7 linked regions of the Canis lupus familiaris genome follow. The protein of the gene in region 7 purifies or fractionates together with the protein of the main gene of each other region. This does not show direct contact. Links are inferred from orthologs where the notes say so. Each region holds a gene or a part of one and is shown on either strand. Other genes may lie near its edges. The genes, in order: REST, TRIB2, TWIST1, ZNF704, RIPK4, STK3 and BTRC.

Region 1 (3,003 bases), on a different chromosome or scaffold from region 7:
TCATTTCAAGTCTAAGCATCCTACTTGTCCTAATAAAACAATGGATGTCTCAAAAGTGAAACTAAAGAAAACCAAAAAGCGAGAGGCTGACCTGCCTGATAACAATATTACCAATGAAAAAACAGAGACAGAACAGACAAAAGTAAAGGGGGATGTGGCTGGAAAGAAGAATGAGAGGTCTGTAAAAGTGGAGAAAAAAGATAATGTTTCAAAAGAGAAAAAGTCTTGTAGTAATGCTTCCACCCAAGTGACTACTAGAACTCGCAAATCAGCAATGGAAACTAAAGAAATGGATGTGCATACAGGAAATAATTCAGAAGCTACCGGTAAAACCAAGAAAAGCAAAAGGAGGATGGAAGCTGAAGCCCATTCCTTAAAAGACCCTGTAAATGATGAGGAACCTGTGACAAAAAAGAAAAAGAAGGCAGAAAGCAAATCCAAAAATAGTCAGGAAGTGCCAAAAGGTGATAGCAAAGTAGAGGAGAATAAAAAGCAAAATACCTGCGTGAAAAAAAGTACAAAGAAGAAAAGTCTGAAAAATAAGTCAAGTAAAAAAAGCAGCAAGCCTGCTCAGAAAGAGGTTGCTCAGAAGGAGCCTGCTCAGAAGGGGCTTGCTCTGATGGAGCCTTCTCCTCCCAAGGGGCCTGCTCAATTGGAGCCTTCTCCCAGGGGGCCTGCTCAGTTGGAGACTTCTCCTCCCAGGGGGCCTGCTCAGATGGAGCCGCCCCCGGCCCTAGAGTCTACTCAGATGGATGTTGGTCAAATGGAGCCGCCTCCCCCAGTGGAGTCTGCTCAGATAGGGTCTTCTCAGATGGAGCCACCTCCTCCCATGGGCCCTGTTCAGATGGAGGTTGTTCAGATGGAGCCTCCTCCCACAGAGCCTTCTCTTCACATGGAACCAAGTCCCAAAAAGTCTCCTCGAAAAGATAAAAAGGAAAAGTCCAACATACAGAGTGAAATGGCACGGAAGGAGCAAGTCCTTATTGAAGTGGGCTTAGTGCCTGTTAAAGATAGCCAGCTTCTAAAGGAAAGTGCAAGTGCACAGGATCACTTACCACCACCACCACCACCACCACCACTGCCGCCACCAAAGGAAAACTCAAAAGAAGAGGAGTCAAAAGACCAAAAATTATTCACTGAAAACGAAGGAAGTAAAGAAGCCCCTCTTCAAAAAGTAGAAGTAGAAGAGGCAGAGAAAGGTCTAGCTGGTCTTGCTGCTATTAAGGAATCTGCCAATATTTCATCCTCTGAACAAAACTTGACTATACCAGAGGGTGAAATTTTAGATGCTAAGTGTCAGGCTGACACTGTGCTTTGTGAAATGGAAATGGACACTGATGAGAACAAAACAGAGAATCCCCCTGGCAAAGGCCCAGCAGTTGAAGAACCTGTTTCACCAGTGCTGCATCCCCTACCAATAGAAAACCATGAAGCAGTGTCTAAAACTGCTGTGACATCACCTCCTGTCACCATGGCAGTAAATGAGTCTCAGGAAATGGATGAAGATGAAGGCATCCACAGTCATGATGGAAGTGATCTAAGTGACAACATGTCAGAGGGTAGTGATGACTCTGGATTGAATGGGGCCCGGCCAGTTCCACAAGAAACCAGCAGGAAAAATGCAAAGGAAGCCTTAGCAGTCAAAGTGGGAGAGGGAGATTTTGTTTGTATCTTCTGTGATCGCTCTTTTAGAAAGGAAAAAGATTACAGCAAGCACCTCAATCGTCATTTGGTTAACGTATACTTCCTTGAAAAAGCAGCTAAAGGGCAGGAGTAATTAATCTTAGGATAAGGCTTCAGTTCTTAGTTTATGCGATCTATTACATTTAATATTCATTTATAGCTGTAGACAACCTTTTGTTTTTTTAAATTGCTTTAATTAGTGTCCAATGTTGATTTTTAAGTGGCACTCTTTTCCTTAGGACTCTGTATATCTATTGATGGATAAATTTTAGCAAATCCAAGGAAGTTAGTGTACTAAACCAGCAGATACCTAAATCTGTTAGTTTATACATTTAATTGAAATGAGAAGGCCAAGGTGGTATTGTAGCATTCTGTTGCTTTGTCTGGCTGTAACTTGTCACTTTTCTTGCCATGTCTGTCTTCTTGTTTCGCTTTAGTTTTTTCTTAGTTCTTTGTTTAGTTCTATAAAAATTGGCATACTTAAATAGCAAATTACTTGAATTTGCCTGCTTTATATAAAGTTAGCACTTTAAAATTTTTTTAGAGATGAGAAGAGACATTTAAATTGAAGAAAAATTCTCCCAACAGTGGACATTGTATCAGTCCAGGTATTTACTTACTGAGTTTTGATCAATATTTCTTATTTGTGTATGTTAATCGTCATAAAAACAATGATTTTGGTGTGTTTTTTTTTTCTTTCAAGTTTTTTTTTTTTTTTTTTTTTTTTGGTGCTTTAATGGCTTAAGATGTTGCACATTGTTTTGTTTTTTTTTTAACCTATGCAGTTCAATTTTTTTCTAGAAATAGTATTCGTGTTGAACAGTAACACTTTATACATATATATGCATGTTTATTTTGTCCTCTTTCGAGGGATGCTTTTAGTCTTGTTTGCAAAAGGGCAGTTTTCTTTTTCCTTTGCTGCAATTGTCTTTTTTGCAGAATATTAGTGTGTGCAAATTTGTGAGCAAATGAAACATGCAGGTTCAATCCATTGATTTTGAATTTCACATCTTATATCTATGCCAGAATCTGTATTTCACATAAGTTATTTATTTTAAATGGATGTAGTGAATTCACAGCTCTCATTTTGACCTTTACAATAAACCACTAGACTCTATATTAGACAGATTTTTATCTCAGATACCAACCATGAGTAAAAATTTTTGGCTTGTTTTAGTAGAACTACTTCCTTAAATGTGCAGTGTTAAGTCATATCTTTGAGGAAAACCTTTCTGCATAGATGGTTGGTGTCCATATGGCTACTCAGCTGAATAAAGAACTGTAAGTGATATTTGGAAACTGCAAACCTGGAATTAGGAG
Region 2 (4,133 bases), on a different chromosome or scaffold from region 7:
ATAAGCCTGGCTGCCAGCTTCTTTTAAATGTTTAATTTGGAGCCTTACTTATATAATGTGACAGTTGAGATAAGGCAGTGAGATCAGGCCATCATTAGTAGCATTTGCAAAAAAAAAAAAAAAAAAGTGCCCATTATTCCAAGATAGTAATTATGTCAATCTGCACAGTAGCTACCAGCATTTCCATGAAAATGATAAGGTAAAGACCCCCTAAAGCTGCCTTCCTTCATTTGGCTAGCTTAAAGTAGGCTCAGGGAGACAATAAACAGGCTTGATTATTTTGGTCAAATGATCCCAAAGAGGGTCCTGTAGAATTCTCTCTGCAGTCCTCTCTAGTCATGGCATCTTTACATTTGGTCTGGTCTTGCAAAGACTTTTTCCTTGGGTCAACAAGGAGCTGGAAGACATGAACTCTTTACTCTGAGACACGAAACGGAACTTGATTCAATGTGCAGATTTCACAGTGCCCTGCGGTAAACTGAGTTCACACCGTGTATCTGGGGGTAGCTCGTGGAAGCAGCCTTATAAAAACCACTTGGGGCTTCCTAGGACACATACAACTCTGCTTGCATAAAAAGTCTTGCAGCCTTTGCAGGAAACCGGGCTGCCGTGTATTAAAGGGATGACCTGTGTCAAGCAGAACAATGATACTGCACTTAAATCCACTTGCAGCCACACAGTAATTGCTGAGGGGCCGATTCAATCTTTGCAAGAACTAAACCAGCCGATTAAGTACAGTTTCAAGCCAAAGAGCAAGTCTATGAATGACACCGAAAGGTCAGCCCAAAGGGAAATAACGTCTTGAGGAGTCTGGAGGGAGAAAGAAAGAACAGGGGCAAGTCCCCTCTGCCTTTAAACAAAGAAATAACAGCAAGATGCTCCTGCAGACTTTGAAGGCAGAGTCCCTTTACTTACAAGCGTCTCCAGCCTTTGAAAAATATTAAAATGTTGTACCGAAGTTGAGCAAAGGGAGTGAACACTCTCACTGCTGGGCGATTGTGCATATTTCACAGGAGAGTGGCAGCTCTGTGGAATTCATTCATTTCAAAGGATGACTCCCCTATTGTGCAACCTTGCAGGTCTTCTGAGAATTCAATCCAGCCCTGAATAGCCTACTGAATTTTGGTTAACCGGGCACAGTTGCTCTGGGTCTCAATAACTTGGGAGGAGATGCAAAATACCAAATGCTCCCTAGAAGCAGAGAGCTCTATTTAAAGAGTCTCTGATTTTCCCCCTGAGATCTGAACTGAGCAATTGCAAAACTGACTGAAGACCTCCACAAAACCCATATTTACAATGAAAAGGCTCCAGTCCGCTACGAAATAAGGCAATCTGTGGTTAATGGTAGAGAAGCGCGATGTTTTATTCGTAGCACAGCTCTGCAGAGTGCCCATCTCAAAGAGAGCAGAGGTCCTCACTCCTCACCACCCCCTTACCCGCCGCCCCCCTCCCAAGAAAAACCAAGAGTGACCGAATATAAAATTAAGTGACAATGAATTCCTGATCTGTGTCCCAATGCCCGGGGTAGCAGTATGCTCTATTCTATTTTTTTTTTTTTTTTGCAACTGTTCCCCTTCTCATCCCCTCCTCTGGAGCGCACACAAAGACACACAGACACCCCAGTCACTGTTGGGGGTCAAAGACAAAAAGGAAACTGAAGTGCCCATCTCTGTATTAGCAGTGAGAATCCCAGGGGCTCCAGAAGCCGGCCTGTAAACCCTACAGGCAAAGGTGTGTTGGTGGGGGGGGGGTGTCGGAGGGGGGTGTCGGGGTGGGGGGGTGTTCAGGCACGGAAGTCCGGAGGATGAGCAGAAAGGAGACCACAGAGAAGGAGCCAAGGACTCACTATTTCCTACACCCAAAGGTGCGCCTGCGGCTTTGATTTCAACCCCCAGCCCTCCTCTCCAGGCTGCAGGCAGCAGGGAGCTCTTTGTAAACTCCTTCCCCGCGCGCTGGGCCCCTGGCTCAGCCAGAGGGGACACCTTTGTGTGTCTCCTTTAAAGGGCACCTTCGGAACAAAGGTTTAACACCTGCACGCTTCTAAGAACAATGGCTGCGAAAGGAACCCGGTCATCAGTGCCCTAAAATGAGCGGGGGATTCCCTACTCCACGGCGGGAGGGGAAGGGGGGGGAGGGCGGCAGTCGGGGAGACAGCCCTGGGGCGGCCGCGGGCCCCGACCCCGCGCAGGGGCGCCCCACGGGCCTTGGGGAGCGCGCGTGTTCGCGGCGCCCGCGACCCCGGGGCTCTCCCCGGGACGCCCCCGCCGCGGCCCGCCCCATTGTCTGCAACGCTCTAAAAACTTCGCAACTAGTCGAACGTGAACAAATAAATAAAGCCCCTTTTTAACGAGGCCACGGAGAATTATCCCGCGCGCCTCCCTCCTCCGGGGGCTCCGGAGCTTGGCGACCTCCCGCCCTCCAAACGGGCCCGGGGAATCTTTTGAAAAGACAATAAGCAAAACAAAAAAGCACCCCCCAAAAAACAAAAACAACAAAAAAAACCCAAACCAGCAAACCCCGGGCTCTTTACCTTGCACACCAGCTCCTCCCCACTGTGCAGATGCACGGCACGAAAAACGTGGTCTCCCTCCAGAGGTTCCAACAATAAGTATTTCCCGATGCAAGAAACGCAATGCGACAAGTTCGGAGTCTCGGGCGGGCTCGGGGAGCCGAGGTTCGGGCTGAAACTCTGGCTGGGCTCGGCGGACCTTATAGACGACAACTCTTCGAAATCCTGGGTTTTGTTCCGCGATCTCCCATATCTTGCTATTGTGATGGGGGTAGACCTGTGTATGTTCATGAGTGTGGAGATCGCACTCGGCAGACAGACAGACAGACAGACAAAAAAAAAAAAAAAAAGCACCCCCGCTGGAGAGATGATGAGTCGCTGGCGAGCGCGGCTGCAGGCGCCTCCGTGCCACGGATTTTAAAAGGATTCGCGAGGGGAGGGGACGGGAAGGGGGCTACGTGGAGAGAGAGGGAGAAGCCCCCAGATGGGCGCCGCCGGGCACCTGGTCGGCTCCGAGCCCCGGCTCCCGGGGGCGCTCAGTCCGCAGCAACTCCGAGTCCTTTTGTTACCCCAAAGCAGCCGGCGATTTTGCAGAGTCTCCGCACTTTTAGTTTCTTTCTCTCTGTCTCCTTCCAACGTGGGTCTAGACGAGCCACCCGATTGCTACGGCGGGGAGCCGCAGCGCCAGGTCTCCCGAGGCGATCCCCACGCAGGCTTCCGAAGCGCGGACGGGGCGGAGGAGCCCTGCTGTCTAGTTTGTGCAATCTTGGAGGAGCGCGCACGGCAGCCGCTGGGTCTCGACGCGTTAGAAACCAAACAAAAAGGGAAAAAGAAAAAAAAAAAAAAGGAAATAAGCACGGGTCTACCGGCTCGCGCTGCACGGCAGACACAATCCGCGCTGCAAACCCCCCCCCCTTTTTTTTTTTTTTTTTTTGGTGGAAAGGGTGGGGGGCGTGGAAGGGAGGGGGGAGGCCGGCGGAGCGAGGAGCTACCTACGTTTTAACTGTAGATGGCGTGTGAGGCTTTTCCAAGATCGCAAGAGCTCTCCAAAATTTAAACAAACAGACAAAAAAAGAAAAAGGAAAGAAAAGAAAGAAAGAAAGAAAAAAAAAAAGAATGGCAAAGGAGCATTTAACTTGGAGCGGTCAGCGCTGCCAACAAAAGGTCGCAGAAGCTGTGGGGCAGAGAGTGGCGGCGCGGGGCGCGGGGCGCGCGCAGGGACCGCGACAAAGCCCGGGTCGGCCCGCCGGGCGGAGGTCAGCACAGGCTCATGCTGTCGCCGCTCGCTCGCTCCCTCGCTCGCGCTGCAGCCCGTCCTCCGAATAAAGCGAGAAGTGCAGGCAGGGACGAGGGTAGATCAATGGTCTCCGGTTCCCCCGGCACGAGCTTCCGGGGGGAGGGCGAGCTGGAGAGGGGCGAGGGGGGGGGTCCTGCGGGCGCTGGAAGGGGATGCGCCCCCGGCCAACCTGCCGCGCGCTCCTTTCCCGCTGGATAACTGGATCTTGCCTTGGAGCAATTTGCAACCACTCCGCCTCCCCCGGACCCTAAACCCAAATTGCCCGGTGGGGTTTGTTTTGGAGGAAATTGATGGCTTTTCTTCTTCGTCTTTTATTATTATTATTTT
Region 3 (3,943 bases), on a different chromosome or scaffold from region 7:
CTACGCATTCCTACTGATTTGTAAGTGTACAGATACAGATCATTTTAGTAACACTTTGGGCATCCTTTCAGTGCAATGAACGCTATTACTTAAAAGTCCTGACAAACAGTGGAGGGTAGAACAAAAAAATACAGTAACGAGAGAAAAATAGTCCTGGCTTCATATTGCTTATTTGCATTTAACTGTTTTACAGCTGCCTCCTCAAAATATAAGCAAGAGAAGTGAGTAACAAATTTCCTAAGTTTTTGCTTGTTTGGGGGGCCTGATAAGAGATGAAGGAGAGATGCTACAAAGTCCACTGAACACCAAACTGGAATAATAATAATAAAGCTGTCTTTCTAAATAACACGCCTGTGCCTGTCAGTAGCTAGTTTATTTGCGTTTTTCACTGCTTTGTTTATATTAGTGCCCCCTCCCTCCTGGGTGCCTCCAGAGTTAAACAAGCAGGTATTTACCTCCAACTTAATCCTGAGCTTTAAAAATATAGACCAAACTCTGAGGTTCTTAAAATTTTCAATCATATTTATTTATTGCAGAAAAATAATATACAAAGATATTTACAAAACAATCATAAAAATATGAATGCATTTAGACACCGGATCTATTTGCATTTTACCATGGGTCATCAATAAATAAATAGAATGTTGTTTTTTGTATTTTAAGTTTTTTTTTTTTCTCTCTCAGAGGAAGACTGTAAAGAGGGTTTAACTGACTGTGATTTTGCAAGTCAGTTAGATCCCCGTATTTTTATTTCTAAAGACGTTCTTAAAATTCCTCTGGTTGGTACCATTTTAAAATGGAGAAAGTCCATAATGATGCCTTTCCTTTCAGTGGCTGATTGGCACGACCTCTTGAGAATGCATGCATGAAAAAATAAAAATAAAAACATTCTTCGTCAAAAAAAAAAAAAAAAAAAAGGAACACAAACAACTGTTCAGACTTCTATCAGAATGTAGAGGTGTGAGGATGGTGCCGCTGCCCGTCTGGGAATCACTGTCCACGGGCCTGTCTCGCTTTCTCTTTTAAAAGTGCGCCCCACGCCCTGTTTCTTTGAATTTGGGTTCTGCTCTTCTAATTTCCAAGAAAATCTTTGGCATATATATTTATTTTTAGTTATCCAGCTCCAGAGTCTCTAGACTGTCCATTTTCTCCTTCTCTGGAAACAATGACATCTGCAAAAACCCAGAAGGGGGGGGGGGGTTGGAAAGTTGGTTATTGTTTAGGTCTTCGTGGCTGTTTTCTAAGACTAGCGAGCACTGTTCTTATCACCACTACTGAGAAATTACGCTGAACAACCTGGAAGGATTTCAGCCCAAGGGCAAGAGGAAGTGGGTGGCCGGAAAGAAGGAGGAGGTGGAATTTGGAAGCATTTGTTTTAAGGAGAACGAAAACTTAGAGCCAGAAGAAAGGGAGGCGCTGGCAACCAGACTTGCCCTTCCCCACGACCCTCGAGTGTCTCTCAAGTCCTCCCTCCTGTCCGACACGCACACTCACGCACACGCAGCACACCCGGCACGGGGCGCGTCCCCCTCACCCTAGCGGGGACCGACCTGCCTTTCAGGGACGCTCGGGGGAAGAGGTGGCGGTGCCAGGCTGGGTGGGAAGGCTGATGGGGGGGGGGCGGGGGACGACCTGGGCGGGGGGGGGGGGGCGCGGAGGAAGGCCAGGTGGGCCGGGAGCCGCGGCCCGGCCGTCCGTCTGACCGCCCGCCACCTGACCCGCGGAGGCGCCGGTCCTTACCTAGGTCTCCGGCCCTGCCGAGGGGGTGGGGAGCTCCGCCTGCTAGTGGGACGCGGACATGGACCAGGCCCCCTCCATCCTCCAGACCGAGAAGGCGTAGCTGAGCCGCTCGTGGGCCACATAGCTGCAGCTTGCCATCTTGGAGTCCAGCTCGTCGCTCTGGAGGACCTGGTAGAGGAAGTCGATGTACCTGGCCGCCAACTTGAGCGTCTGGATCTTGCTCAGCTTATCCGAGGGCAGCGTGGGGATGATCTTCCGCAGCGCGGCGAACGCCTCGTTGAGCGACTGCGTGCGCTGGCGCTCCCGCACGTTGGCCATGACCCGCTGCGTCTGCAGCTCCTCGTACGACTGCGGGCTCCCGCCGCCGCTGCTGCTGCCGCCGCCGCCGCCGCCGCCGCCGCCGCCCGCCCCGCCGCCGCCGCCGCCGCCGCCCGCAGATTTCTTGCCGCGCTTGCCCTGGGCCGGGCTGCCCGGCTCGTCGCCGCCTCCGACGCCCCCGCCCGCGGCCCCGCCGGGCCCCGCGCCGCCGCCCGCGCTGCGCCGGCTGCTGCGCCGCTTGCGCCCCCCGCGCTTGCCGCTCGGCGGCTGCTGCCGGTCCGGCTCCTCCTCGCTGTTGCTCAGGCTGTCGTCGGCCGGCGAGACTGGCGAGCTGGACACGTCCTGCATCATCTCTCAGGTGGCAGCGCGCGGCCTCGCAGGCCCGGGAAAGGGAGGACGGCGGGGAGCCTCAGCCCGCCAGCTTCCCCCGCGCGCGGCGCCGGCCCGGGCGGTGCGGCCGCCGAGGAAGGGGCGGGAGGAGGCCCGGGAGGCTCTCGGCGGGGCGGGGAGGGCGCGCGGGGGAGGCGGGGAGGGAGGCGGGAGGGGGAGGGGACGGTGTGGATGGCCCCGAGGTCCAAAAAGAAGCGCCCAGCGGCCGCACGCACGCCCGGCCCGGCCCGGCCCTGCCCTCGGAACCGCCGCCGGTGCCGGCGCGCCCGCGAGGTGTCTGGGAGTTGGACGAGAGCTGCAGCCTCGGAGGCTCTTATACCTCCGCGCGGGCGGAAAGCTTGGGGGCAGCGGTGTCATTGGCCTGACGTGGGGAGGAGGGACTTTTCCAAGTTTTATAGGAAAGTTTCCGCTTTCCAGGCCCCCCTGCCCTCCCACCCCCTTCCTCGTCCCCACCCCCACCCCCCTTTCCGCGGGGTCTAACAATTCGTTCTCCCAAACCATTCAAAGGCGACCTGGCTGCGGCGGCCGGCCCTCTGCCCGCCTCCCCGCCTCCCCGCCTCCCCTCCCCGCCCCGCCGCCCTCCCCCTTCCCGCCCCGCCGCCCTCCGCGGGCCGGCGCGGGGCGATTTCCTTCCGCGCCCGAGCGCGCGCGGGCCGCGCCCCCGCACCCGAGCGCAGCCCCGGAAGGCGGCCGGAGGGGACCTTTCGGCCGCGGTGTCAGTCCCTCCCGGAGTGGATGTGACAGCAGCGGCAGCTCCGGCTACAGCTTCTACGCAGTGGGTGATGCTTCATCTCGCCCCTGTACCCTCTAGGTCCGCGGGGGCCGCTTTGGGATGGCCGGGGCGGGGGCAGGGGCAAGAAAACTGGCAGCCGCGGAGCTCTCCTCCCTATAGCCAGGTGGACGGAGGGGCTCCCCACCTCCCCACCTCCCCACCCCCACACCCCGAGTTGCAAAGCCCAAACCACCGCGGCTGGCCCTGAGGTCGTGGGCGGTTTTTGAAGACGTGGCCGCGACTGCGGGGACTGCGGCTCGGTGCCCCGGCCTGCTCTCACCCCTCCCTCAGAAGCATCTGGGCCTTCCTTTATCCCGCCACAGCGACCCAAGCCTAAAGCCGCTTGCCACCCCAAAGACTTCACCTCCGACGGGGCTAAAAAGAGGAAGTTCGTTCTTTTCTCGGAAGTCAGCCCTGTCCTCGGAGAAAGCAGCGGGCCGGAGAGGGACAGCGCAGGGTCTTCGCTGCGGCCCGCGTCGCCTGAGCTGCCGGCCCAAGGTGGAGGACCCCGCGGCCGTGTCATCCCTACCGTACCCCCACATAAAGCCCCACATCGTGACCCCTAAAGGGAGGCTCGTAAGAGAGCGAGGTGGGGTTCAAGCCCACCCCCCACCCTCCACCCCGAACCCGCGCAGCTGCCCGTTGTGCGAGGCACCTTCTCCGCCCTTCAATCCTAGGAGCTGGAGTGGGCAGTTATGCTTCGGGTGACCCAAGCGCGGTCCA
Region 4 (3,500 bases), on a different chromosome or scaffold from region 7:
TAAAGCCTTTTGGAAGCATACAGATACACCACGGACACAAACACTCTTGACACATTTCTAACAAGTTGTTTATCAGCAGCTGCACCTCTCCTGGTTTTCTAAAATGCCAGTCGTAACACCTTTTACCACAGACAAGCTGGGCTGGGCTGGACCATGAAATACATGCTGGGGAGTGTACAAGTATCACTTAAGGAATAGTACTTCTGGTATTCTGAGTTTTGCCTTTCTCTTGCATGTTTTTATAATTTGTTCTCTAAATTTATGTTTGGCTTTGACCAGATTTCTGGCTTTTTGTTTTTCTACTTACTGGAATGCCTGTGAAGGTAACTGGAGGAGACTGCCAAGAAATGCTGAAGCTGCTGCCGTTGGGGGTGAACTTGGCCGATCCTGGAATGGTCACGGGGGGTGTGGCCTGTCCCACAGAAAACAGAGAACATTGTTATGAAACAACATTTCTCCTCACAGTCCTAAGCTATCATTGCCAAAGTAGGGCCCCAAAATGGTTTCAGCTGTATTAATAACTTAGACTAATTCTCCAACAGGAGATTAAACATAGCTGAAGAGAATAGCTAGAAATAAGCTTTTTATAAATCTTAGTAATCTAATGAATAAGAGCAGGTTTTTTGCTGATTTCTGAAAAGAAATTTTATTATATGTACATGTACCTATTTTAGGACATAGGCCTATTTGTGTGTAAAACACTATGCCTCACCATCAAATTGGGAAATAAACAACTTTACAGGGATGCTGGGTGTGTAAATTGGTACAACATTTGGGGAGGGTAATTTGGCAATATATATCAAAATTCTTAGTATTTTGTATATTAGCTATGCCACTTTTAGAATTCATTCTAACGAAATGGATATAAAGATGTTCATTGCAGAACTATGTATTATGTAAAAAAAACCCCTGGAAATGCAAGTGTCCAATAATAGGGATGTAGGTACGTAAGTCATGATATACCCACAGACTGATGCTGTTGAAGAATACTTGTTGGCATGGGAAAATGTTCATGATATATTAAATGGCAAAAATAAAGCACAAGAAAAACAGTACTATGGTAAATTACTTTTTTAAAAATGACTATATATACATCGAACAAAGTCTTGAAGGACATACAAAAAATATTAACCAAGGAGCTTTCTTGTTGTTGCGGTTCAGGGATGAATTTTCTTCATTTGCTTGTGTTTTTAATACTTTTGATGCTGAACATTCATAATGTCTATAAATAGAATAATCCCAATATTATGAATACATGGTTTGGGAAGGACCTTTTAGATCACCTCGTGCATGTTCCAACTCTCATATAGATGAGCAAAATAGTTGAAATTGGTTCAGGCCCATGATTTCAAACCAGTGTTCTGAATACAACACTGACAAACAAAAACAAAGAAATTAAGTATTCTTTTTGACCAACATAACAAGAGTCAGGAATGAAATTTATTGCATCAACTAATTTAATAATTAGCTCTATTCCATTGCTCTTGACTGTAAGCCTATTAAATCAGTGGCTGGGTACTTCTACAGGTTTAGTTTTTCTAATTATAGATGTAGTTGCTCGTGACAGTGGTTTTATAACTGGCACCACTGGAAAATATTTTGGCAATACATAGCAAGAGCCATAAGCTGTTCATGTTATATCCTGTGACTCAATAATTATTCTTCTGGGAATTCAAAGGGAAAAAAACAAAAGCTACTGGCATGGAGGTGTTCGTAGTAGAGTTATTAATGATAGTGGAAAAACTGGAGAGATTAAAGAGGAGAGAGCTAACGGTAAGAGAATGACTAAAACAACTTGGTGTTTCGATTTAACTGAAAACTAGTCAGTTATATGGAAAATGTTTATAAAACCAGGGTGGGAGAACACAATTACAAATATGGACAGGAGTTTTTTTTTTTTTTTCTTTTTAGGTTGTACAGAGTAGTTGAGAATTCTGGGGAAAAAAGCTTTCTTAAAATTGAATGTTTTGATATGTCATTAAAACAAATCAACATTTAAAAGAGTTAATAAATGCTGGGGGGACAGAAGAGCTTTAGCTGTGTCCTATTTGCAGGATTTGTCTGTAAGGTCTTTTGGGACTTTAGAGTGAAGCAGATCACCTGGAGGGTCTGTCACAATGCAGACTGCTGGACCCCCAGCCCTCCCTCCTGCCCAAAAGGTCTGGGGCTGCCCCAAGAGTTTACATTTCTGACAAGTTCCTAGGTGATGTTGACACTGCTATTTGGGGAACACTGATCATCACTGCTCTGATCTGTGAGGGTTAGTTACCAATTCAGAAGACAGGGCATGAAGTCCCAGAGTTGGGACACAGTGCGGTTATGTCATTGTGCCAAAGCTTTCGGTGCTCACTTTTTCACTTATATTTTTTTATTTAACAGATACTTAGATCGTGGGCCAGGCACAATTGTGAGATCTTTACAATATTAAGGATTTTGAGTCCTATGACAACCTCTAAGGGGTTGGATCTTTAGTCAATATTGGGGAGTCCAAGGACCCCCAGAGCCCCATCTGTGTGAGGTCTGAACTTTAAAAGGAGAAAAAGAAAAAAAGAACTCAGCTATTAGCCTACTTGTGTGATGCTGTTTTTGCACCCTTTCCAGTGCAAAAGCAGAATGCTATTGCTTTTGGTGGGGGGTCAGAGTGGTTACCCCCAAGGTCCTTTGCAAGTCACCTGGTAAGCATGGTCGGTGTGCACGAGGTAGAGGGTGGTGGGAGCTGAGCGGCTCAAGGGTGTCATCAATTTAGTCTCAGTTTTGGCACAAGGAGTTTCTGTTCGGCTTGAATCTGGGATGGGGAAAGTGGGAGGTGAAGCCAGGGACTGAGAAGGTGACACCGGGGCCAGGCTGCTCAGTCCATCTGCCACTGAGTCTGTGTTGAGCTTGATCTCAGTGTAGTAAAAGTCCTCTTCTCCATCACTGTAGTCGGAATCCCCAACACGCCTGGGGCAAAAGAGAGCAAAACATGATGACACGAACCCAGTCTGCCTTCTTGCCCCGAAATCTTGCACTTTCTCTTCCCTCTGTCTGGAATGCTTTTCCCCTGTCTGGTCTGTCTGGCAAACTCTGACTTATCCTGCAACACTCAACTCCACTGTCCACTTGCAGGGAAGCCTTCCTTGACCTCTTAAAACAATTTATTTAACCAATCAGTTATTCAGCAATAAGTTACTGAGAGCCTATTACACCCAGGCACTTTTCTAGGGTCTCCTGATAGCATGATGAACAAAGCAGAGATTATAATGAATTTATATATTTATTTATACTTTACATTTTTACATTATTTATTTTTAAACTTTTTTTAAATATTTTATTTATTTATTCATGAGAGCACACACACACACACACACACACACACACAGAGAGAGAGAGAGAGAGAGAGAGAGAGAGAGAGACATAGGCAGAGAGAGAAGCAGGCTCCATGCCGGGAGCCCAACGTGAGACTTGATCTCGGTTCTCCAGGATCATGTCCTGGACTGAAGGCGGAGCTAAACCGCTGAGCC
Region 5 (3,500 bases), on a different chromosome or scaffold from region 7:
CCGCTCCCCCAGAGGGTGAAAACCACGGCCCCCCCACCCACCCCGGCCCCGCGGAGCTGCCCTGACTTACGCGCTTCTCCTTTGCAGATGAGAAGAACATCCTGCACATCATGGTGAAGGTGGTGAAGGGCCACCGCCCGGAGCTGCCGCCCGTGTGCAGAGCCCGGCCGCGGGCCTGCGGGGCCCTCCTGCGCCTCATGCAGAGGTGCTGGCACGGAGATCCCCGGGAGCGGCCCACCTTCCAGGGTGAGTGCCCGGGGGACCTGCTGCTCGACTGTGCCGCTGGGGGCACGGGGGAGGCTTGATGAGCAGGACAGGAGGGGCAGCCGCCCAGATGGGGCAGGCGGTGCAGACACAGGTGCCCGTGGCCCTCCAGCGCCCGGGGCCGGGATGGGCGGCTGGCACTTGGGGGTCGGTGGCAGCGCCCGCCCAGCTCTAGTCCAGGGCCGCCTTGCTCCCCGGAGGAGCGCGTGCTGCAGTCCTGCAAGTTCAGGTATGCCGGTGCCTCGCTGGGGGTCTGAGGAGACCGCTCGCCCGAGGCTGTCTTTGCATCTCCCTTGGGGTCTTGTCCGCCTCGGATGGATGCATCCTCGGGGTAGGAAAGTGATTCTGATGAAATCAGAATTTGTCGTTATATTGAAGACACACGGAGGAGATGATAGGAGCCTCCCCTGCCCTGTGCCAGCCACCCGGGGCCGTCGTGGGCACGGGGCTCCCCCCGGGGAAGGCTTCTCTGGGAAACTGGAATGGTGTGGGCCCTGCCTGGCGTCTGCAAGACACTGCAAATGGTGGCTAACAGGACGCCCCAGAGTGGCCCACGTGGAGGCTACGGGGCATCCTCCGCAAGCGCCGCCGAGCCAGCAGCCTGGGAAGTTGGGTGCTGGCCAGTCCCCTGGGGTGCAGCCGCCCTGGCTGCTGCCTCTTCTGTCCCTGCCTGAGGTCTACACGTGTGAGGAGTGGGTGTGGAGGTCATCGTCCCAGTGACCTGCCCTGTTTTGTTTTCTCCCCGAAAGAAATTACCTGTGAAACCGAGGACCTGTGTGAGAAGCCCGACAGTGACGTGAAGGAGACGGCACAAGATCTGGACACGAAGCAGCCCCCTGAGCCCAAGAGCCCGGTAAGAGCGACCTTCCTGGAGGCCATTTTTTGGGGGGCCCTTCCCCTCCTGTAGACTGGCCTGCCAGCTTGGACCAGGCCCTGGGGTCACCCCCACATGGAGAGAGGCCTGTCCCAGGTCGGTTGGCCTTGTGTCCCAGAGCCAGCCACAGGGTCCTGTGCCCCAGAGCAGGAGGGCAGGTCAGTGGCCAGCTCTCGCAGTGCCAGGTGTCTATCCTGTCCAGCTGCATCCTGTCCCCACCTCCCATCTGTGGTTAGGAGTGGACAGCGTGGGCCCGCTGGCCGGATGCTCTGGGAGCTGGGGGGATGCAAGGCCCATGTGGGCTCTGCTGGTCCAGCTCTCTCTGCTCCCTTGACTCGGGAATCTGGCCGCTTGCTAACCGCTGCCCATAAATGATTTGTTCTGGGAGGGCCACATGGGTTATGTAAGGTGCAATAACTAACTCCAAAGGCTGGGGCTCACCAAGCCCGCGGGGTGACGGGGCTGTGGCAGACGTGCGAGGCGAAGCCCAGTGTGTTACCTGCTATCGGGCGGTTTAGCCCCGGCTGCCGGCCGCGTAAGGCTAGGAGATAAGTCATTGTTTAAGGCGTGCCCGCTGTCTGAACATAAAGGGGTGTGTGTGAGGCTGGGGGGCAAAGGTGCCCGGGGTGAGGAACCTGGTGAGGAAGAGCCAGGCACCCAGTGCACGGGTGTGACTCTGCACCGAGCCACCGAGTCAGAGCGGATCTGCAGTTCCCAAGGAGAAGGGAGGATGGGGGCACGTGGGCTTGGGTCGGGGAGAGTCGGAGGCCACCTGGGGCTTAATCATTCACCAGAAGTCTGCCTTCCTGGAGGCCCGTGAGGGAGGCCCTGGGAGAGGCCGCGTTGGCGCCCATTATATTGGAGTGCCCCTTTGTCGCTGTAGTTGGGCCGCCCCTCATGTGGCCCCCACACAGCCCCCCGGCCCGACTCGCATGGCTAGGAGGAGGGGGCACAGGTGGTTGGCAGGAGGGGGCCCAGCCCCAGTCCCAGTCGCATGTCCTTCCTTCGTTTCTTACCAACAGTGGCCTGCCAGGGTGGGCATGGCCCAGCACTCAGGCTTCACACCCTCCCGGCACCATCACATCCTGCCTGTTGTCTAGGTGATGCTGCTCGTGCCACTCTAGCAATGGGCCAGGGCAGCATGGTGCCAGGCTTCCCATGTTCATCCGGCCAGCATTGGCTCACATGGTTGGCGTTGGCTCATGATAGCCAACGTTGGCTCATGATGACCAGCGTTTGCTCATGATGGTCGGTGCTGGCTCACAATGGCCAGCATTGGCACACTATGGTCGGTGTTGGCTCACTATGGTCGGCGTTGGCTCACAATGGTTAGCGTTGGCTCACGATGGTCAGTGTTGGCTCACGATGGCCAGCATTGGCTTGTGATGGTCAGCGTTGGCTCATGATGGCGGCATTGGCTCACCATGGTCATCCTTGGCTCTCAATGGTCACCGTTGGCTCATGGTGGTCAGCGTTGGCTCGCAATGGCCAGTGTTGACTCGCGATGGTCAGCGTTGGCTCACGATGGCCAGTGTTGGCTTGTGATGCCCAGCGTTGGCTCACAATGGTCGGCATTGGCCCACGATGGTCAGCGTTGGCTCACGATGGTCTGCATTAGCTCATGATGCATCTGTGTCTCCCGGCTTTGGGCTGCCCTGGTGCTGTATCTGTGGCGTTGGACAGAGTGCCCCGTGTGGCTGTCCTGGCACCACACACCCTTTGCCCTCCGCCTGTACCCCCTGTGCCCTGGGTGGGTCTCATCTACCCCACTCTGCTCGGTTTGCAGAAGCCTGTGTGCACACCCCTCAAGCGAGCCTCCGCGCCGACCTTCGACAGTGACTACAGCCTCTCGGAGCTCCTGTCCCAGCTGGACTCGGGTACCTCTCAGACCCTGGACGGCCCGGAGGAGCTGAGCCGCAGCTGCTCAGAATCCAGGCTGCCGTCTGCCAGCAGCGGCAAAAGGCTCTCGGGGGTGTCCTCGGTCGACTCTGCCTTCTCCTCCAGGGGGTCGCTGTCTTTGTCCTTTGAGCGGGAGCCTTCGACGGGAGGTAAGCGAGGCCCCCAAACCCTGGGAAGTGAGGCCCTTAATCATGGGGCTGGGGGGCAGGCAGTGTGTGTAGGAGTCCATGTGTACCCGAAGGGACCGGGCACCCAGCTCCTGGCCCCAATTCTTCATTCCTGTATCGTGTACCCAATTGTTTTGGGGCGTCAGAGCATAGCTAGCTCACTGAGCGCAGGTCCGGAGAGGTGTACTCGCTGAGTGGCCGGCCAAGGGGCTCCGTGCGGTGTCACTTCAGAGTAAGGGGGCCGGGCCGGGCCACCTGGCTGTGCAGGAATAGTCCTACCTGTGCCAACCCTGGGT
Region 6 (2,699 bases), on a different chromosome or scaffold from region 7:
AGGGCAGGGATATATATTACTCCAAGGCATGGCCTGGGGTGCAACTGCCATTTTAAGATAGAACTAAAGCTTCCAGAGATGCTCTACCCCCTGTGGCAGTCATTAACGAACCCACTGGCATCTCCCTTCTCTCCCCTCCGGGCACACAGGTGAGGTTGTCTTTCCTCACTCCCTTGAAATTAGGGAGTTAGTGGCCACGTGACTAGTTCTGAATACTGGTTGTGGCCACCCTGACATGTGTCACAATGTCAGCACTCCTCCCCTTGCTGTCGTGACCACCAGTGTTGCAGATGGTGGAGGTCCTGGGGGTGAGTGACAGAAGCAGGGTGTCTTGCCAATGTGGGATGGGCATGGAGCACCAGTGAGGAATCCACACTGAGCCCCTGAGGCTCCCAGTTGTTATGGCTACATCAGCCAGGCTGTCCTCACGAACAGACCTTCCGTGCCAGGAAAAGAGAGAATCCAGGTGGTGAGTTCTTAAAAGACATAGAGATGATATGTGCTGGGTGGCACAGTAAAATTTATTTTTCTTTATGATTTACACATAGTAATTAAACACACAAAAGAACAAACACTGTCAAGATGGCCATATGTAGCTTAGGAACTGACTGGTCCCAGTTCAATCATACAAATGTTCATTCAGCTTAAAAATGAGTTTCTTTTTAACATTTTTTTTTTTTTATAGTCCCCAAGGCTTGCACAGTTCAGTACAAATGTTTTTGTTATTTTGTTATTGTCAGGCACATGATGTTTATCAATTCCCAGGAAATGAATGAAATCAACAAAAACGTCCTGTGACGATTGAGCACAAATTTTACAGAAATAGATTTGATGACAGTTTGATAGTTCAGCTAACAGATCAATAAATGAAACATGAAACAATATTAACAAATTACATTTGTCTTAAGGATTTATTTCTTCTAAAATATTTACCATACTTCTTTGTGCAAGGGTTCCACTGACTTCTTTGGTTTTAAACATTATAGCCCTGTGTGTCCTAAATATATATAGTTCTATTTGTACCAAACATCGAGAATAAAAACATTAAACAAAATTTCAGAAGGTAAAAATGGAATTATTGCTTCAGTATAAAAAAGTGTCTGGGCCCATCTGGGTACTATTGCTATTATTGCTTTGCTTCTATTGGAAAACTATCCTGGAAATCAAGGAATGTATCCCATCACTACCTGCTGAAAGTATAATTTGGTTGTATATTATCATCTATTAATACGTCCCTCCCTTCACCAAAGCTATCCTAATCTTGTCCTTAAAAACAAAACAAAGTGAAACAGCATAAATAAATAAGCTTACCTGGGGATACAATAAATAAGCTACTAGAAATAAGAATAAAGAAGATTGTAACACAAAGCTCTTCAGTGCTGTACAATTAAACAATAGCTTCAGATTTTCAAGGTCTCTAAACACAGTGTTGGTTGTAGAACAGTTTTAGCGCTGATGAGCACCTGACAGATCTAGAGAGGAAGACATTTCTGTTGTTTTCACTATTTAAAGAATGAAAACCTAGAGGCTACAGTTGTAATTTCTGCCTTTTGGGAATTTACTAGGTATGTACCATCAACGGTTCTGGACTGCTGCCTAGTTGTAGAGCACAAATCTTAGGGATTTAGAAAAAAGACAGTAAGAATATTCCTTCAATTCTTAGTGGTTTCTTGGTCTCCAGAATAGTTAAACAAACAGAAAAAAAATGAGACTCAAAAGTTTTGCTGCCTTCTTTTCTTCGCATCCATCGCATCCAGAATGGGTTGTCTTTTTGCAGTGTATCTTTGACGAAGCTCTTCTATTTCTCGTTCCATCATGGGGTCCAGCGCTTTTAACCGCATCTGCAGTTCTTCTAAACTGAGATTTTTTAACTAGAAACAGAAAAAAAAAAAAAAAGAAGATATTAACACAAAATTATCTACAATAGGATAAAATCTAATGGGCTTTAGCATGAATATTTCAGCAGTCTTTACATCATCTTTGAAATGTAGTTCAACAATTAAAATGGGAATACCTTCTCTGAAGAACCAAGATACCACACCTTGTAAGAACCTTAAGTAATCTTGCAACAAAAGCAATAAAAAACTCTGCTTTTAGGAAAGAGCAGAGAGAAAAATAAGCTGATGAAAAGTATTTGTTTTTTTTAAAAAAAAAAGGCAGAAAGACAAATCCACCAGTGCCAACACACAGACATTCAGGATATGTTCCGAATATATCTACTCCAATCTCTCCTATCCTTTCCAGCTCTGGAGCACCGCCATAATTGTGAGTATTTGCAGAGATCACCCAAGAATGTGACAAGATTGAATACAGGTTAAATTAAGCATTCTATCTTGCATTTCACCAAGTGTTTAAATTTTAACTACCTGGTTAATCAGAAAATTAAATTATCTAGAATACTTTTGTCCCAAACATTTTGATATAATAAGGTTTTTAATTTATGAATCAAAATCCTGAGCCTGATGTAAACAAAGATGTGTAAATTCTGACATAAGCTTGGCTAATTTGAAGATATAGTGCCTATCAATTTTTCACTATGTATATTCTAGTTTGACAACAATGGTAAGATTTGACTAAATGGTATAGTTTGACCATAATGATTTAGTTAAATTATACTGCCTTCTGGAGGCAAGACCAGCACATCCTTTACTGGTTTTCTGTGTAACAGCAGGAAAGAAGCCTCATATATATGCAGGATG
Region 7 (3,500 bases):
AACCATCTAAGAGTCTGATCTCATTTTTTTTACCCCAATGTATTTTTCATGCCTTGCTAAAGCATCTGAATTTTTTCTTAAGTTTCTGAATTTCTTTCAAATTAAATGTGCTACAAAAAAGGGGTGGCTAGGTGTTGAAAACCAGTTTTTCAGTCTAGATCTGTGTTGTAGGTCAAAACCTTTTTTGGATGGAAGCTCCTTCACAACATGGACCACTTCTATGCAAAATGCCTAATACCTTTGAGAATGTGAGTACCTGATAAGTGCTCAATATTAAATTCAGAATGTTATCATAAAACGTGATCTGCTGATTAAGAAAATGGAATTCCCCAAGTGATCTTTTATTATACTTTTAAGAGTTACCATTACTGAGCAGAGAGAGCACATTCAATATTATTGAAAATCAAAAACGACAGAGTTCTTGTCATGAACTGTCAAATTCATCTAGATACAAAATACAACAGTGGAATAGAAGTTAAACCCAAAGCTTCATTAGAGAATTATATTTATTTATTTACTTTTGGTTGGAGGAAACTTTCAAAGCCAGCATTTGGGGAAAGGTAGGACAGATTTTATTGACACAGTAGGCTTAGTAAAGCAATCTGAAAGAAGATGAGAAAGTGATCATACATTAAAAAATTTTTTAAGGGGGAGGACACTAACACAAGAAGAAAGGCAAGATTTAAAAATAGAAGCAGCCAGAGAAAGTCAAGGGGATATTAAAGGAGGTCTTCATGGGGTGGACACTTGTAATTTCACAGGACTCTATTAAGCTAAGATGGCAAATGTAGCTTAAGACAGGAATATGGTCTAAACTTCGAAGGATACTCAAAAGAACAGGAATGGGTTCCTGTGGTTGAATAGATAGAGGAAAGAGTGATAATTACTATGGGATTCTAGGTTATTTCTCAGCCATTCCTTTATATACTCCTCTTAAAAGGCCAAAAGGCCATCTTTTCAATGATCTAGTTTGTTTTCTTTCTTTCTAACTAATATAACAGATCTTGCTTCTTACTGCCACCCCCAACTAAAACTGTGGAGCCTACTCTTATCTTTGGCATTTTCACATGCATCTGTCCAAATCTGCCACCTATTCCTTGTTCTTCTTGCCTTCAAATAAAGAACCTGGAACTCCCAATGTCTGATAAAGGTTTATTGTTATTCACAGTCCAAATGGGAGCAAAGTATATTTTATCACTATGGGAGTGAATCTCTGTAATAGAGATTTCAGGCCAGATGTTCCAATTTGGAAGCAAGGGTTTTTCCCTTTCCTTTTTTTTCCCCCATGAGGGATAGTGGAATATTCCTAGCTACCCTAAAATTCTCCCATGTATGTCAGCAACTGCTCTCTATCTAAGGCTGGTCCTGACACACTTAGCAAAATGATGAACTCTGAATCCTATACAACTATATACTTTTTTGCTTTCTTTATATTATAAGGAATTTATTTCCAAAGTATAAGGTAAGTTATGAAAGGTTTTGATTTTTCTATATAGTGAAATAAGTGAGAATAAGAAAAACATATTTGGGAAGAATAACACTGTGCTTTCATTTATTCATTTTTATACAGCCAAAGAATTGCCTGACATTTGCTTCATTTAACTGAATTTGAGAGAAATTTTTAAGTCTTCCTAATAGCCAGAATGACAGAAATTTCTTGAAGCATTTGGTATAATATTTAGGTAATTATGTTTATTATATATTAATGAATTTCAAAGATGCAAAAAAAAAAAAAGAAGCCAACTATATTTTAATGAAAATTGCTAAGAAAAGCTAATCCTTTTTTCTTAACTGTTTTGTATCTCTTTATGGTCCAAGATAAATAATTGATAAAATTAATTGCTTAGGATATCCCTGAGCACACATATGGCTGCTGGTGCATATCTATCAGCTAAAATACTTAATATGTCACCTTTATTTTACTTATGAAATATTCACACCTGACTTTCTTATAGTGACATTCTAGTAACATCCTCTAAGAGCAAAGTACATATAGAAGGTATCTTCCAGAAGTTTGAATGAAATGGTACCTTTATGTTAAAAGAACAACAGCAAAATTGGTGAAATCTCTTAGGTTGCTAACTATATAATGCCTTAAGGAATTTAGGATTAAGCAGTAAAATCTTGAGAAAATATGGGTGGGCCTTATGAAGAAATGGTGGCTAGAGTTCTTTCTCTAGTTGAGTATAAAAGTAATTTTGATTACAAAGGTGAGAAACCACCTTAGACATGAATTAAAGATAAGAAATTTTCTGAATGAGAAAATACTTATTTGTATTTGTCCGGAACTGTTTCAGGTATCTGATGGCTTCTGTGTGATTTAAAGTCATCTGTCTTACAAACTGCCAACAGCCCTTTGTCAGGACACTAGTTTCTGCTCAGAAAACAAAATGCTCTCAACAGAAGTCAGTTTTTACAAAGTAGTATTAACATATTATTATGTCACTTATGAGTGGTCAGAAGAAAAACTGCTAAGTACCTGTACAACTATTTTATTTTACATTTTGTGCTATAAACCAGGTAAACATCATATTAAATGATAAGCAGTCTCACTGGTTCCCAGTGTTATTCCAATGATTCTGAATGGGCAGGTCCTGAAGATGATCTGTAATAGTAAGAAAGTTAAAAGGCTCACCACCCTCTTCGTTCTGCCAGGCCTCTCCACAGAGAATCTGTCCTGACCATTCTCTCGATGAGCTTCTTCCATAACATGCCATCAGAGGTCACTCGGTACCATTCCTTACATACAAGTTCAGCAGCACATAGCGATTTGGCATCCAGGTATGACAGAATGTTCTCAGCAATGTGATCCAAACCCCGGGCTGTTGGTAGGGGGTGGAGGCAAAGAAGAATATAGGTGGTGAATGATTTTTTACAAAAAGTCCTTGAAAACAGAATAGCATTTATTCTGCTCTGAAGGCACATCACTGTCCCTAGTGTGGTCCAGTTTCTTTTTCAAACAGAAACTTGGGTAAAATGAGTGTCAATAATTTTTCCATAAGGTTACAGAAATGAACAGTATTTTCCATCTTCCTTTAGATAAGGAAGTTAAAGCTAACAACCAGCAAACCCCCCAAGACATTAAAAATAAAAAGGATTCCAGAAAACAATTCACATCTATCTATATGGATTTCAGCACTAGGGGATGTTCTATGGATGGCATCTCAAAGTCTGTGATTCAGACCCCCCCAAATCTCTATATTAGGTCCATTTCTCATTCTGTTTCTATTACTGCTGCAGTTCCAAAGCTGTTCAGTAAAAGAAATATCCTTTAAACGTACTAGGGGAGAGGCACTAAGTCAGAATGTGCTGGGTTATAGAATTTTGGGCATGCAGAAGGAGAGAAGAAGGAAATACAGATTGGTAAAGGAACATCCCAAGAGGAAAGACAGAGAGGTATGTTTAAGTTCGAGTTTAATTTCAGATGCTTAAAAAAAGTATGTTTGAGAGTAGTTGCTGTTATAAAACCTAAATGACAATTAACCAAAAAATGAAAAAGC

The links.
Region 1: the proteins of BTRC (region 7) and REST purify together in Homo sapiens (affinity purification with western blotting; 8 studies listed by BioGRID and IntAct, with this or other methods). This does not show direct contact. The link is inferred for Canis lupus familiaris from reciprocal best matches to the Homo sapiens genes BTRC and REST.
Region 2: the proteins of BTRC (region 7) and TRIB2 purify together in Homo sapiens (affinity purification with western blotting; 3 studies listed by BioGRID and IntAct, with this or other methods). This does not show direct contact. The link is inferred for Canis lupus familiaris from reciprocal best matches to the Homo sapiens genes BTRC and TRIB2.
Region 3: the proteins of BTRC (region 7) and TWIST1 purify together in Homo sapiens (affinity purification with western blotting; 4 studies listed by BioGRID). This does not show direct contact. The link is inferred for Canis lupus familiaris from reciprocal best matches to the Homo sapiens genes BTRC and TWIST1.
Region 4: the proteins of BTRC (region 7) and ZNF704 purify together in Homo sapiens (affinity purification with mass spectrometry; 3 studies listed by BioGRID and IntAct, counting the BioPlex papers as one, with this or other methods). This does not show direct contact. The link is inferred for Canis lupus familiaris from reciprocal best matches to the Homo sapiens genes BTRC and ZNF704.
Region 5: the proteins of BTRC (region 7) and RIPK4 purify together in Homo sapiens (affinity purification with mass spectrometry; 4 studies listed by BioGRID, with this or other methods). This does not show direct contact. The link is inferred for Canis lupus familiaris from reciprocal best matches to the Homo sapiens genes BTRC and RIPK4.
Region 6: the proteins of BTRC (region 7) and STK3 purify together in Homo sapiens (affinity purification with mass spectrometry; 3 studies listed by BioGRID and IntAct, counting the BioPlex papers as one, with this or other methods). This does not show direct contact. The link is inferred for Canis lupus familiaris from reciprocal best matches to the Homo sapiens genes BTRC and STK3.

What each region holds. Positions count from the first base shown.
Region 1 is NC_049234.1:49,818,275-49,821,277, forward strand, and holds part of REST (RE1-silencing transcription factor), read left to right. Parts: coding exon 1-1,777; 3' UTR 1,778-3,003. UniProt on the Homo sapiens protein: Transcriptional repressor which binds neuron-restrictive silencer element (NRSE) and represses neuronal gene transcription in non-neuronal cells.
Region 2 is NC_049238.1:9,238,836-9,242,968, reverse strand, and holds the start of TRIB2 (tribbles homolog 2), read right to left. Parts: upstream 2,801-4,133; coding exon 2,531-2,800; intron 1-2,530.
Region 3 is NC_049235.1:33,429,393-33,433,335, forward strand, and holds TWIST1 (twist-related protein 1), read right to left. Parts: upstream 2,523-3,943; 5' UTR 2,410-2,522; coding exon 1,783-2,409; 3' UTR 1,741-1,782; intron 1,173-1,740; 3' UTR 501-1,172; downstream 1-500. UniProt on the Homo sapiens protein: Acts as a transcriptional regulator. Inhibits myogenesis by sequestrating E proteins, inhibiting trans-activation by MEF2, and inhibiting DNA-binding by MYOD1 through physical interaction. This interaction probably involves the basic domains of both proteins.
Region 4 is NC_049250.1:28,472,544-28,476,043, forward strand, and holds part of ZNF704 (zinc finger protein 704), read right to left. Parts: intron 2,941-3,500; coding exon 2,673-2,940; intron 413-2,672; coding exon 308-412; intron 1-307.
Region 5 is NC_049252.1:36,057,316-36,060,815, reverse strand, and holds part of RIPK4 (receptor-interacting serine/threonine-protein kinase 4), read left to right. Parts: intron 1-87; coding exon 88-246; intron 247-1,013; coding exon 1,014-1,117; intron 1,118-2,924; coding exon 2,925-3,186; intron 3,187-3,500.
Region 6 is NC_049234.1:753,447-756,145, forward strand, and holds the end of STK3 (serine/threonine-protein kinase 3), read right to left. Parts: intron 1,872-2,699; coding exon 1,713-1,871; 3' UTR 501-1,712; downstream 1-500. UniProt on the Homo sapiens protein: Stress-activated, pro-apoptotic kinase which, following caspase-cleavage, enters the nucleus and induces chromatin condensation followed by internucleosomal DNA fragmentation.
Region 7 is NC_049249.1:14,332,408-14,335,907, reverse strand, and holds part of BTRC (F-box/WD repeat-containing protein 1A), read right to left. Parts: intron 2,823-3,500; coding exon 2,636-2,822; intron 1-2,635. UniProt on the Homo sapiens protein: Substrate recognition component of a SCF (SKP1-CUL1-F-box protein) E3 ubiquitin-protein ligase complex which mediates the ubiquitination and subsequent proteasomal degradation of target proteins. Recognizes and binds to phosphorylated target proteins.